Neurospora crassa OR74A: one gene and its partners. The protein of the gene in region 1 purifies or fractionates together with the protein of each later gene. This does not show direct contact. Links are inferred from orthologs where the notes say so. Each region holds a gene or a part of one and is shown in the gene's direction. Other genes may lie near its edges.

Region 1 (4,799 bases):
ACCGCCTCCTCCAGTTGGATTCTCCCTCTTTTGTGCTGGTCAACACCCAGGTCAAAGACGAACTTCTTTCTGCCAAGCAGCTTCAGGCCCTCGATAAAATCGTCACTTAGGGCTGTTCCGTTGGGCTTATCTTGCAGCAAGTAGCGGAAACCCTTCACCTTGGCCCATGTTTCAGGCCCGGCTTCCTTTTCCGCAGCTGCGAGATACTTTTCCAACTCGGCAGAGCCCAATACAACCGGCGCCCACGGCACAATTCCGAGACAATCACGGCCATCGTCAGCCGTGTGGCCCTCGCCAGGCTTCGGTTGGCCGGTTACGATGCGGCGAAGCCATGCGATCTCTTGTAGGGGGTAAGTCCAATCCTTAGCATTGTCGTTCTTGCGGTCGACCTCAATTGCGACGTAGCCCTGAAGATTGCCAGGCGCACCGGTGGCGGTCTGGTATTCCTGGATGGAGTGCTGCTTGGCGAGAGGATTGTCTTCAGCGTACCACTGGTGGGATTCTACCTCGGACTGGGGATAGAGGTGCACATGGGTGTCGATGATGGGAACGGAAACGGCGGGAGATGATGCCATTTTGATCAGGCCGTTATCGAGCTCGAGTTTGGTAAAGCGACGGATATGTTTGGCAAGAAAGTAAGGTATCCAGTGATAGAGAAAGAGAAGGAGACAAGCGAAGCAAGCAAAGTCAGAGATGACAGGAAGTAGGAAGGTCAGGACGTCGAAGCGGTGTACCGTCCTGCAGGCAGACCAACGCTGAACACACAAAAGTAGAGGTATGGATGGGATGTAACTGAGGCAACGGGGGAACTTCCAATCGAGCCTTCTCCTTCTTATATTTTGTATTCGTTTTAGCATAGGCAGGCACGCGCTACAGTACGAGGAGAGTACCTCGATGGTCAGGAGGGGGTGGGAGATGGGATCGACACAGACAGCCAGGAACCACGACGAGGTGGGGTACGTTCGGCATGCAAAGGGCAGGCCCAAGACGGGACAATTCACACCGAAAGATTCAAAGATAGGGTTCCTGATCAAGAATGGTTACCTCCCGTCTTCGGTTTCCATTTCCTTGAGGAACCCAAGGTCCTTTTCCCTTTCGTCTTCCTACAGCACCGGAAGAAAGATACCCTTGTTATGTACAGTCATCACATGATTGTGCGAATATATTAGCAAAAAGGGTTCTATCTGCAAGACCTGACAGAGAAATCATGACATGTTCCAAAAGCTTAAGAAGTGAACGAGGCCAAGAGGGAAGTTGAGCCCCTGGAACTTGCTGAAGTTGAGCTCTCGGGTGGGGTTTGATGTGGAGATATGGGGTTGGCGGGCAACTGCCATGCTTGTCAGAAGCGCTTGGCAGCAACACTCCCCGGCAAACGCAAACTACACGCGCTATACAAACTGGGGCCCTCCGCACGGACCGTGGATGCCTAGCAATTAAACTCTTGCCCCTCCTCGACGCGCTGCCAAACGCGTCGCTGCTGCAGTCCATTGTTTGTGTGAAATTTCCCCTCCAGACCACCATCATCATCAGTCCAACACACTCGATCCATCCGTATCTTGTCGGATCTTTCTTGACTTCTGCGCCCCAATCCTTGCATCTTCGAACACGACTCACGCATAAATCAACCTCAAAAACAACATCGAGAACGTCTCCACGGGCTTGACGCCAACACTACCCAACCAACATGGCGGGTCAAATCACACAGGGCGCTCTGGAGTAGGTTTCTTCACGTGTGCTTCCATCCAGTAGTATGACAGACTCTGACTTCTTGCTATAGCGCCATGTTCAATGATCCCGATCGCGCACAACAACAGTTCCCTGTCCCCATCCTTCAATGTCTCCAGATCAAGACCCTCGACTCCAAGAATGGGGGCGCGGGCGCCACGGAGAGGTTCCGCATTGTGCTGAGCGACCTCAAGAACTATGTCCAATGTATGATGGCCACGCAAACAAACCATCTTGTTCACGATGGCCTCCTGCAACGCGGCTGCATCGTGCGCTTGAAGCAGTATCAAGCTCAATGTCTCAAGGGCAAAAAGTACGCCTATCTACCCCTCCGCCAATTCGGGAAATCCATAACACTGACTGTTTAAATCCAGCATCTTGATTGTCCTCGATCTCGAAGTTATCCAGTCCCTTGGCTGTCCCGAAAAGATGGGCGATCCACAGCCTCTTGGCCCCCGCAGTGCAGAACCACAGCAGAACCCCAATCTCGGCAGCACCGGCTTCTATGGCGTCAAGAGCGAACCTACCCAAGACACGAAACCACAGTTTCCACGCCAGATGCCCTCGCGTAATGCCAGCGGGGGTCAGGGATCAAGCACGATATATCCTATTGAAGGTCTCTCGCCCTTCTCGCACAAATGGACCATCAAGGCCAGAGTCACCTCCAAGTCCGATATCAAGACCTGGCACAAGGCTAGCGGCGAGGGCAAGCTCTTCAGCGTCAACTTTCTTGACGAGAGTGGCGAAATTAGAGCAACAGGATTCAACGACCAAGTCGACCAGTTCTATGATTTGCTACAGGAGGGTCAGGTTTACTACATTTCTACACCTTGCAGGGTACAGCTTGCCAAGAAGCAATGGTCGAATCTCCCCAATGACTACGAGCTCACCTTTGAGCGGGATACCGTGATCGAAAAGGCCGAAGACCAGACATCTGTACCACAGGTACGCTTCAACTTTGTCAACATCCAGGAGCTTCAGGATGTTGAGAGGGATGCGACTGTCGATATTATTGGTGTCCTCAAGGAGGTCCAAGAGGTGACCCAGATTGTATCCAAGACCACACAGAAGCCGTACGACAAGCGCGAGCTGACCCTTGTTGACAACACTGGGTACTCGGTACGTTGTACCATCTGGGGTAAGACGGCCACGAACTTTGATGCTCAGCCTGAATCCATTGTGGCCTTCAAGGGCACAAAGGTCAGCGATTTCGGTGGACGCAGCTTGTCCCTGCTTTCGTCTGGCACCATGGCCATCGATCCGGATATTCCAGAGGCCCATCATCTCAAGGGCTGGTATGATAGCAGCGGCAGGAACAACACCTTCGCCACCCACAACAACATGCAGACCTTGGGTGGTGCGACCGGTCGCAAGGACGACGCCAAGACCATCTCACAAGTAAAGGAAGAGAACCTTGGCACAAACGAGGCGCCGGATTACTTCGCTCTCAAGGCAACGGTTGTATTCATCAAGCAGGATAACTTTGCCTACCCTGGGTGCCGAAGCGAAGGCTGTAACAGGAAGGTCACAGATATGGGTGATGGTACCTGGCGCTGCGAGAAGTGCCAGATCAACCACGATAGACCTCAGTACCGTTACATTATGAGCGTCAACGTCAACGACCACACAGGTCAACTTTGGCTTAGCTGCTTCGACGATACGGCGCGGGTCATCATGGGCAAGTCGGCCGATGAACTTATGGAGATTCGAGAGACCGACGAGACGCGGTTGCCCGCCGAGTTTGAGCAGGCCAACTGCCGCAAGCTGAACTTTAGGTGCAGGGCGAAGATGGACACATTTGGTGAACAGCAGAGGTACGTATCGGGGGTTATTCTCACGATTAGATGGACGTTGCTGACACATTGCTTGTTGCAGGATTCGATACCAGGTCATGAGCGTGGCGCCCCTTGACTACAAGATGGAAGGAAACAAGCTTAACGAGCTCATCAATTCTTACAACCAAATGAGCATGTAAAGGGGAGGGTGGGGTTTGTTCACTTATGCGAGGAACTAGATGATGTATATGGTTAATGAACACGTGTTTGTATTTTCGGGCATGTGGTCTCAAGGATGAACGATATGGGCATCACTGGCCTATCGACTGAAAGATGATTTGCAGTTTCATGATGGACTGGGATGGTTAAGAGCTGTGATGGGCCGAACCCTAACAGAACTTTGTTGGCGTGGCAGCAAATTTCGGCATGATTGCAGACTTGAATAGGTCTCTCAAGCGTTATCTTGGAGTTGAGACACTAGGAGACCTTCCTGTTCGAGTTATCTTCGATAACATGCCGAGGTAAGTACACACGCTTCGTTGACTAGAAGAAAGCTCCAGAGCTGGTCAAGGTCGGATCAGGGCGGTCCTTGCAATGTAATACGCACCTTTCGGGCTCAATATCCACATGGCAATCCGATCATCTCATCCGTTATCGGCCTTCTTCACCCTCTCGTATTCTCAAACTCTTCTATGCTTCAGCTTTTTCACGCAAAGAACCCGTGGCACAGCCTTTCCTGGTCATCTTTCTTCACTTTCCAACTTCCGTTATGTGAATAGGCACCCCGGCTCCGGTCTCTATGCGGACTGTTTAGCTGCTCGATACCGTATCGGCACTTATCGATTACGCAGATGGATGACAGGAACCTAAACGCCGTATCTTCCTTATCGGCCGTCGTCGGGATCCCCTGCCGTGACTCCACATATCCGCCGTCCAGACCCGCCCCCGCTCCGTTCCCTCGGGCCCCCCACTTTCGATGTAGCGGGAAGCTGACACCGAGTTCTAGAACAAAAGACTATTGAAATCACGTTTGAACCGTATTCGTGTCAGCACTAAGACCAAGTTAAACCTTTATCTTTGCTCATACTTCTCTATCCCATTCAGTGTCTTCTTGTTGTCTACTTACACTCATCACCTTCCACCAACATCAACAACAAAGTGACAAGCTTCAACCTCTCAAACCTCCAACGAAATGGCCGACCCCAGCACCACCCCTCCCCTTACCCGTGCCTCCGTCCTCGCCGCTCACTCCCTCATAAAGCCCTACATTCACGAGACGCCCGTGCTTACGAATACCAC
Region 2 (4,711 bases), on another chromosome or scaffold:
GCCTTTCGGGTGAAACACCGGGGAAGGAGGGGGTCTGCTATTGAGTAAGGATAGGCCATGGACGAGATATGCATCCAGAACACGCTTATGGAAGGGAGGCAAAATAGTCTGTTATGCACTTTATAAAACAGTAACGGTAATGGAGGCCGAGTGTTTTCTGTCTTAGTGTAGGCCCTGGAAACCCAACCAAATAGCCGTTGGCTGTCCCTTATTAAGTGCAGGTATTTATCTTGGTGGGAAGACTTATACGGACGACACAGCAATCCCCGAGGGATGCTGGAGAGGGAGCTTGATCGTGAATCTGTGGTACCTTCTTATAATCGCTAGGTAGGTAGGTATTAACTGGTACGACAAGGAGCGTTCTTTATCTAACAGTTTAGAAGTGGTCACTACATCCACAACGCTTTCTGTTGACGGGTGTTCTGGAAGAAAAGGGATGGGGGCTTCTTGGATTTCAGAGACCCCCTACATATTAGGGAGGGAAGTCACTGCTAGCCTAGGCAGCCAATGCCGATGAGAGCCCCATCTCCTTTTGCCTGTTAGCATGGAAGTCTGGCTTGTCTGGCAGCCGGCCAGGCAGGCAGGGACCTTTGAACAAGCGCCAGGGAAGCAACATTATACGTAGGTAGGTACTTCAGTTGTAACTAAGAGAGACCACAATCTGGGCGGGGAGGGGGTGTGCGTCATAGAGGATAGGTCTCTCAACCTTGGTCCGCAGGTAACTGTTGTTGGTAAGTTTCTGTAGAGTTGGTGGTAACGCCTAAGAAAAGATACAGTGCACATCTGGAAGCGGATAGAAACGTCACTTCTCTCACCCTCCCTTTTCCACGACCCCCCGGCCTTCAGCCCTCCACTTCAAATGCGGCACCTGGACCCCCGTTCAACGTCTAGCAGCCCTGCGGTTGCCGGGTAGGGTGTAGTTGCTAGTAGTGAAGCACTGAGCCTTGGGCGTCGTGGGAGCCTGGCCACCTCAGTTGTGTTCTTGGAGACATCCATCATAGGTACCTAGGTACACCATGTGCCATCTTTTACTTCCACTTCACATGAAAGGACAGATGTTCTTTATCCTAAAACTTTGTTCAATTGCCCGTGGGCAAAGCGTCTTCTTGAAGTGTTTGCAGAGGTTTTGCATTTCATTGTCCCTTCTTCCCAAGTCGTTTCCTGCAGTGAGACGTCTAATTCCTTCTTTCCCGAGAAACACGGAGCGAGCCGTTTGGTGCAGGCGAGCATTCCCGTCGACCTTTCAGGCCTGGTCAGCAAAAGTTTAGCGAAGAAACCGCACGAGCCAGGCGACGAAGGTAACACCAAACACAGCACTAGGTACTGGGATACGTTACAGGCTCCCGTCCCTCCCAACAACAACAGGCAACAACACCCCCCCCCCCCCCCCCCCCAGCCGGACAGCATCGAAACTGAAAGCATACACAACCCACCCACCTGCACCTTCACCAGCACGGCGAAGCATCAGCACCTGCGATTGTTGACAAAATTTTCGAGCAAAACAAGACCCGCAGTTCGGCGTCAGCACTGCACTGTGTCTGGATTCTCCTCTCTCCTTCCACTTGCAGGCGAACGCTCGGAACAGCGACAAACCCCTCGCATCGCCATCCCCCATCCATCCCTCTCTATCCCCATCGCAATCGTCTCCAGACGGACCGCATCGATACCATCCATCCACCAACCGCCATCACCTGGCATCCAGATCCCACCCACGGCTCTGCATCTGCGCCTCGCCTCTGCGGTTCGATCTGATCTCACCGAAAGCAAATCGAGTCTTGCCCCGATTAAGATTCAAGGTTGCTGTGGACCGTGAACCTTGGACTCCCGCCCCCCGCTTGTTCCACGCAGCAAAACTTTAGTTGCATCAAGCCCAGGCCGACTTTCTCTCCCTTTCGGAAACCCCCCCCCTCCCTCTTCTCCCACTACCACCGCCAACCCGCTTCGTTTGCTGGAGAGAGACCCGTTCTTCCTCCGAACCAGGCATCCAAACCGCAACCATGGAGGGCTCTTCAGATATCAACACCGTCCTCACCAACTCGCTGAGTCCTGGTCAGTATATATTCGACATCCTCACCCATGCCCCGACCCTCCTGCCTTTTGGCAGCCGCTCTCGCCATGATGAATCGCGTCAGCTCGTCCAAGCCGTGACGCACATGCTGACTCCTTGTCTCTAGACGCGACCCTGCGACATGCTGCCGAACAGCAGCTCAGCCAAGCCGCTCAGACAAACTTCGTATGGCCTCCTCCCCTCGTTGCTCCTGTGTCGCGTCCCCACAGCAAGGCCTTCATAAACGCTAACTTGGCTGTTTCTTAGTCTCAATACCTCGTGACACTTGTCCAAGAGTTGGCAAATGAGAGCGCCCAGAGCCACATCCGAGCGGCGGCCGGTATCGCCCTCAAGAACGCCTTCAGTGCTCGCGAGTTCGCTAGGCAAGCAGAGCTCCAAGCAAAATGGCTTCAGCAGACAGACCAAGACACAAAGACACGGGTGAAACAGCTCACCCTCGAGACCCTCGCCTCCAGCAGTACCCAGGCAAGCCAGGCCTCGGCGCAGGTTATCGCGGCTATCGCTACCATCGAGTTACCACGAAACGAGTGGCCAGACCTTATGCACGCCCTGGTCAAGAATGTTAGCGAGGGAAGCGAGCACCAGAAGCAGGCCTCTCTGACCACCATCGGCTTCATCTGCGAGAGTCAAGATGTCGATCTACGAAACAGCCTGGTTCAACATTCCAATGCCATCCTCACAGCTGTTGTCCAAGGTGCTCGTAAGGAGGAGCCCAACCGCGAAGTTCGACTTGCCGCCATTACCGCCCTCGGCGACTCTCTTGAGTTTGTCGGTAACAACTTTAAGCATGAGGGCGAGCGCAACTACATTATGCAGGTTATTTGCGAGGCGACACAGGCCGAGGACTCTCGGATACAGCAGGGTGCTTATGGTTGCCTCAACCGCATCATGGCCCTCTACTACGAGAACATGCGCTTCTACATGGAAAAGGCTTTGTTTGGTCTCACCATCCTGGGCATGAAGAGCGATGACGAGGATGTGGCCAAGCTTGCAGTTGAGTTCTGGAGTACCGTTTGCGAAGAGGAGATTGCTATCGAAGATGACAATGCTCAGGTACGTTTCACTGCCACCTTGGTTGAGCAAGAATCCCACTAACAACAGCTGCAGGTTGAGAGCTCGGAGCAGATGCGCCCCTTCTACAACTTCGCCCGCGTTGCTACACTCGAAGTGGTCCCTGTGCTCCTACAGCTCCTCACCAAGCAAGATGAGGATGCGGCTGATGACGAGTACAACATTTCGCGTGCCGCGTACCAGTGTCTCCAACTCTATTCTCAGGCTGTTGGTGCGGCAATCATCCAGCCAGTCATCCAGTTCGTTGAAGCCAACCTTCGCGCTGACGACTGGCACCTCCGTGATGCCGCTGTTTCTGCTTTCGGTGCCATGATGGACGGCCCCGAGGAGAAGTTGCTTGAGCCTATCGTCAAGTCTGGCATGCAGCCCTTGATCGGCATGATGGAGGACCCCTCTTTACATGTTCGTGACTCGACCGCATACGCTCTTGGCAGAATTACAGAAACTTGCTCGGAAGTGATCGATCCTGCTGTTCACCTTGACCCCTTGATCACCTCCCTGTTCAACGGCCTCATGAGCAGCCCCAGAATGGCCGCGTCCTGCTGCTGGGCTTTGATGAACCTCGCGGAGCGTTTTGGCGGCGAATATGGTGCCGCGCAAAACCCCATTACTCCTCACTTCAACCAGTGCGTGACCAACTTGCTCGCCGTGACGGCGAAGCTTGACGGTGACGCTACAGTTCGCACCGCTGCCTACGAGGTTCTTAACGTGTTTGTGCAGAATGCTGCCAACGACAGTCTCCCTGCTGTTGCATCCCTCTCGGATGTTATCCTTCAACGTTTGGAGGAAACACTGCCCCTGCAATCCCAAGTTGTCAGCGTTGAAGACAAGATCACTCTCGAGGATATGCAGACCAGTCTCTGCACCGTGCTCCAGGCAATCATTCAGCGCCTGGACAAGGAGATCACTCCCCAAGGCGACCGCATCATGCAGGTTCTGCTTCAGCTCTTGAACACTATTAATGGCAAGTCGGCTGTTCCTGAAGGTGTCTTCGCAGCCATCAGCGGCCTTGCGAACGCCATGGAGGAGGACTTTGCCAAGTACATGGACGCTTTTGCTCCCTTCCTGTACAATGCCCTGGCAAACCAGGAAGAGCCGAGTCTCTGCTCCATGGCTATCGGCCTGGTCAGCGATATCACTCGCTCCATGGGCGAACGCAGCCAGCCATACTGCGATCAGTTCATGAACTATCTCCTTAACAATCTTAGGAGCACTGCTCTTGCCAACCAGTTCAAGCCTGCAATCTTGCAGTGCTTCGGCGATATTGCTGGCGCTATTGGCGGTCACTTTGAGGCTTACCTCTCGGTTGTTGCTGTTGTCCTTCAGCAGGCTGCTACCGTTACCGCTTCCGCCGAGGGCTCTTATGAGATGTTCGACTATGTGATCTCTCTCCGTGAGGGTATTATGGACGCCTGGGGTGGCATCATTGGTGCCATGAAGGGCAGCGATAAGAGTAAGTTTCCTCGGTCTTAAGCGCGCTTTGCAGAGACTGACAAATGTCGTACAGCCAACGTTCTCGAGCCCTACGTTCAGTCGATCTTTGAGCTTCTTAACACTATTGCTCAGGATCCT
Region 3 (4,420 bases), on another chromosome or scaffold:
CAAGGCGCTTGCCGTAGCGATAGTAGCCGTCTTCTGCGCCGGTTTGGTCAAGCTGTGGTGGACGAACCGCATCGTACGAAAACAGGAGATCTTGGACGAGGAAAAGAAGGCGCGGATCAATAACATGCGCAGCACGGGGCTCCAACCTACCTCTTCCAAGCGCGCAGCAGCCAGCACCATTCCTTTTGGGGTCCGGGCGATCCAGAGCGGCGTCCAAGTTGACGGCATTTGGATTTCGAGACCGGCGACTCCCACCGAAACAAAACCTACCTCGGCGGTGACGCTGGTGTATCTGGGCGCGGAGCAGCAGAGGAGGGAGAAGATAAAGGGGGCGGCAGGTGTCACGGCAACGGCAAGAAGCCCTGTCACCCCCGACGGCTCACTCTTGCAAGGACTGACGGATTCCGAGTCGTTGGAGAGTGCCTCATCAGGGGCAATCCCCCCACCCATCCCACGAGACCAGAGGCATGATTACCCTCGTCGCCACGGCTTGCGGGTTCCCCATGCTTTGAACGAAGATACCCTCCGCAGACTCGAAGGCCAAGACGGAGGAGCACAGCCGCCACAAAGACCAGCAGTCCATGACATCTATGTGCCGACCAGAAACTCCCAACGACAACAAGAGGCCCGGGATGGGCACATTGGTGGTCCTACCAGGCGAGACCAGCAAATCACTGATTCTAAATCAGGCGACTCCTACGCTGATTCTGCCCATCAGCGGTTACCGAGAAGCGACAGTGGAAGATCCTATAACTCATCCAGCGGCGGCGAAGGAGGGGAAAGACTGTATGAGCCAAGAGGAGCTGAAAGAAGAGATGTCGCCGTCGGTGATCCCTTTGGCACTCCCTCCTTGCAGGTGATATATCAGCAGCACAGCAGGAGGATACGAAGCCCATGATAATCACTGCCCCTGAGCCGACCTTGGGGCCTAGGAATTTGCATTTTACACCTAACAACAGATCTGCTGCTCGGAGAGTCGATGACGGGTTTTGACATCCTACCTGTGGGAAGGCTTGGAACACCGGGTATAGAGCCCAGGATAAACCATGACGCATCTTAACAGTCCGCAAGGGGGGGGAGGGAAGATGGTGAGGTAATTAGCCAGGGTAGTCGTGTGTCTGGGTATGGATGGAGGTAGTGAGTGAGGAGCATACATCGGCCTCTCCAAAAGTTGCATTGTTGGGCCATTCTTGCGGTTTTCTTTTGTGGGTGTTCCCTGAGATTTGTTCAAATGGGACACAGGCGGCAGACGTCGTTAAATGACTGTGATACTTGGTCCTAGAAACCGAGGTGGCAAAAACTCGGAAGAGGCGGCCGCGTCGAGAACCTAATGAGCAAGAGTTGTTGTCTCCTCTTTGGATAGGGTGTTCTCGGACAGAGGGCAGTAGGAATAAAATAGCATGAAAACTGTATCTCTGTATCGGTGTACGCCGTAAATACGAAGACGCCTGTGACAATGTTGACGGGGAGTACCATAGTGTTTGTGGTGTACGGAATTGGCATGAAGTGACAAACCCCCAGGGGTGACCGTTCGGTTCGTTGTAGCGGACCCCACAGGGGAACCATCCTGTCGCCTCCGTCATTCCCGTCTGGGCTCCACTGAATCTAGGCATCCGGCGGGGCCAATGGTGTCTAGTAGGTACCTTATTAGTATCCCGCATGCTGGGCTGGATTGGTCATCCAGGTCACATGTTAACGTGTCGCACTTCCCCAATTTGTAGGACGCGGGTCGCGCTCTTGCCTGCTGTTTTCGCCTCTGTCAACATTTGCGTATCCTTGGCTCCAGTCCCGCTCGCTTTTTTTTCTTCTTGCGCCTTTCTGTCTTGCTTTTCTGTGGCCATATCCAAGACGTTTTCGCTCGCTGCTGGTCATACATACCATCACTAAACGTAAAGAAACCCCGAAATTGTTGCACCGAAGAGCACAACAAATAGCACGATGTCGAACAACGAGGAGTACGATGAGTCTGCCAACATGGAGGACGACAGCGGGATACCAAACCCAGGCGCCCCAACACCACTTTCTGCTCTAGAGGTACGGATCACTTTCTTTGATGGATCCATCCGGATTGCAAACAACCAACTGACTTGCCTAGGGTGTTGCCGGACTTACCAAGCGAGACATTCAGCTGATTGTTGATGGAGGCTTCAACACCGTTGAATCTGTTGCCTATACCCCCCGGAGGGTACTGGAGCAGATCAAAGGTATTTCGGAGCAAAAGGCAGGGAAAATCCTGGCAGAAGGTCAGTAGCCAGCATTTGACATTCCTAGAGGTTCCATTTTGGGAGTGCATGATTACTGACACTATCATCAAGCCTCTAAACTTGTGCCTATGGGTTTTACTACTGCGACGGAGATGCACCAGCGCCGCAGCGAACTGATTTCCATCACGACAGGCTCCAAAAATCTGGATACACTATTGGCTGGTGGTATCGAGACCGGCAGTGTCACCGAAATCTTTGGAGAGTTCAGAACAGGAAAGTCGCAGATCTGCCATACTCTTGCGGTAACATGCCAGCTCCCATTTGACATGGGGGGTGGTGAGGGAAAATGTCTCTACATCGACACTGAAGGTACCTTCCGGCCTGTGCGTCTCCTAGCAGTGGCCAACCGATACGGTCTCTCAGGCGAAGAAGTTCTTGACAACGTTGCGTACGCAAGAGCCTACAATTCGGACCATCAGCTGCAGCTCTTGAACCAGGCCGCAGCCATGATGTGCGAGACCCGCTTCAGTCTGTTGATTGTCGACTCCGCGACCTCGCTCTACAGAACGGACTTCTTGGGTCGTGGCGAACTCAGTTCCCGCCAAACCCATCTCGCAAAGTTTATGCGCACACTCCAGCGCCTTGCCGACGAGTTTGGTATTGCGGTGGTGATCACCAATCAGGTCGTGGCGCAGGTTGATGGTGGTCCGTCTGCCATGTTTAATCCAGACCCCAAAAAACCAATTGGTGGCAACATCATTGCGCACGCCAGTACTACTCGCATCAGCCTGAAGAAGGGTCGCGGAGAGACCAGAATCGCAAAGATCTACGACAGCCCATGTTTACCAGAGAGCGACTGCTTGTTTGCCATCAACGAGGACGGCATTGGTGATCCTAGCCCGAAGGATATGGAGAAGATGAATCAGTAGTTTGCAGTGGGGATGGCGACAGCAAATCAACACGAAATTCATACAACAATCTAGGGACGCAAGGGGCTGCTGATTTGACGGTATAAGGATAATGTGTGTTTTTGATGGGCATAGCGCGTTTTTATTGTTAGCATGGGAGGGCAGCCTGGCGTCACACTTGTCTGGTATGACTGGTAAAACTTGGGAGTTGGTAGAGTTATCAATAACTACGGTACACTGTTTTTTTTTTCTAATACAATCGACGAAGTGAAGCCGTCAAAGTCATCTCGCCAACTGATCATTTGACCTGTGCAGAAGCAGCGTCTCGATGCTGAGGGCAAGTGTCACAGGTTTGATCATCCAAAGACCTCACCACCGAAGCTGAAGCTCTCGTTAACGTGAAGGAAATTTCATTGAAATCCAAGTTGCTGTCGTCCATACTCGTGATGCAACAGGCCATGCACCACATAATCTTCGAGGGAATGTGTCAGGACAAAAGGTACGCTCTGTGACTTGAAGTTACAGATTAAGGGCTATCATCCATCTAGCGTTGTTAATAAAATCGCGGATTTCAAAGGCTATTGCTTCCTTCTTGATGTGACGTACCACCTTGCAGTGTGTCCTATTCGCATAGTCTCTCACTAGCGCGGGATACTTGGGCTTAGCACCGAGTTTCCCCACCAACCACGCCAGCGATTGACTGACCCGCTGCAACTGCTACCGACGCTTGCAGCGTTGCGCTGTGCTTGGGAACTTGAACAGTTGAACTTCTGCTGCAGTGGGCGGCCAGAAATTCTGAAGCCAAAAGCAACAACCGCGTTTGCATCTCCAAAAAGCGCGACAGCAAACTCTCAACATTTCCTATACCGCACCGGAAGATACCCATGGGAACAAAATGAGCGCACGGGATTTTGAGATTCTCTACAAAGAGACGCGCCTTAACCTCGAGCCGTCCACGTCGTCGTCGATTGTCCAGATCCGCGTCGGATCGCACAACCAGAGCTCCTTCAGCAGGTCGACAACAGCAAGCGCGCGTGCCATCAACGCCGCCGACGACGAGAAGGCCTACCGAACCCGTAACATAGCCACTGCCTCATCAGTATACTACCGAAAGCACCATGCCTCGCCCCGTGCTTTCCATTGGCGGGTCCTCGAGAATGACACCGTCCTGAGCATCCGCGCGGCCGATGTCTGCAAACCAAACCCCCACCAACAACACAACGATACCGACGCGCCCTTGGTCTTGAACCTGCGCTTCCCCTCGCCGATACGAACCTCTTGCATTGGCTTTTCCGACCCAGAGGCCCA

What was found. The genes of interacting proteins can lie anywhere in the genome.
Region 2: the proteins of rpa-1 (region 1) and NCU02011 purify together in Saccharomyces cerevisiae (affinity purification with mass spectrometry; 5 studies listed by BioGRID, with this or other methods). This does not show direct contact. The link is inferred for Neurospora crassa OR74A from reciprocal best matches to the Saccharomyces cerevisiae genes RFA1 and KAP95.
Region 3: the proteins of rpa-1 (region 1) and mei-3 purify together in Saccharomyces cerevisiae (affinity purification with mass spectrometry; 4 studies listed by BioGRID, with this or other methods). This does not show direct contact. The link is inferred for Neurospora crassa OR74A from reciprocal best matches to the Saccharomyces cerevisiae genes RFA1 and RAD51.

What each region holds. Positions count from the first base shown.
Region 1 is NC_026505.1:1,822,082-1,826,880, forward strand, and holds rpa-1 (replication factor-A protein 1), read left to right. Parts: upstream 1-1,447; 5' UTR 1,448-1,684; coding exon 1,685-1,716; intron 1,717-1,777; coding exon 1,778-2,038; intron 2,039-2,099; coding exon 2,100-3,539; intron 3,540-3,600; coding exon 3,601-3,700; 3' UTR 3,701-4,127; downstream 4,128-4,799. Other genes in the region: NCU03605 (amidohydrolase), read right to left, coding at 1-857; NCU03607 (threonine dehydratase catabolic), read left to right, coding at 4,693-4,799. UniProt on the Saccharomyces cerevisiae protein: As part of the replication protein A (RPA/RP-A), a single-stranded DNA-binding heterotrimeric complex, may play an essential role in DNA replication, recombination and repair.
Region 2 is NC_026501.1:1,681,070-1,685,780, reverse strand, and holds the start of NCU02011 (importin subunit beta-1), read left to right. Parts: upstream 1-1,395; 5' UTR 1,396-1,997; coding exon 1,998-2,049; intron 2,050-2,174; coding exon 2,175-2,233; intron 2,234-2,314; coding exon 2,315-3,121; intron 3,122-3,175; coding exon 3,176-4,592; intron 4,593-4,646; coding exon 4,647-4,711. UniProt on the Saccharomyces cerevisiae protein: Importin beta subunit that functions in nuclear protein import through association with the importin alpha subunit, which binds to the classical nuclear localization signal (cNLS) in cargo substrates.
Region 3 is NC_026501.1:3,388,396-3,392,815, forward strand, and holds mei-3 (MEI3), read left to right. Parts: upstream 1-1,720; 5' UTR 1,721-1,938; coding exon 1,939-2,034; intron 2,035-2,095; coding exon 2,096-2,243; intron 2,244-2,315; coding exon 2,316-3,133; 3' UTR 3,134-3,404; downstream 3,405-4,420. Other genes in the region: NCU02740 (hypothetical protein), read left to right, coding at 5-898; NCU02742 (hypothetical protein), read left to right, coding at 4,008-4,420. UniProt on the Saccharomyces cerevisiae protein: Required both for recombination and for the repair of DNA damage caused by X-rays. Its function may be modulated by interaction with other repair proteins. RAD52 interacts directly with RAD51, via its C-terminus.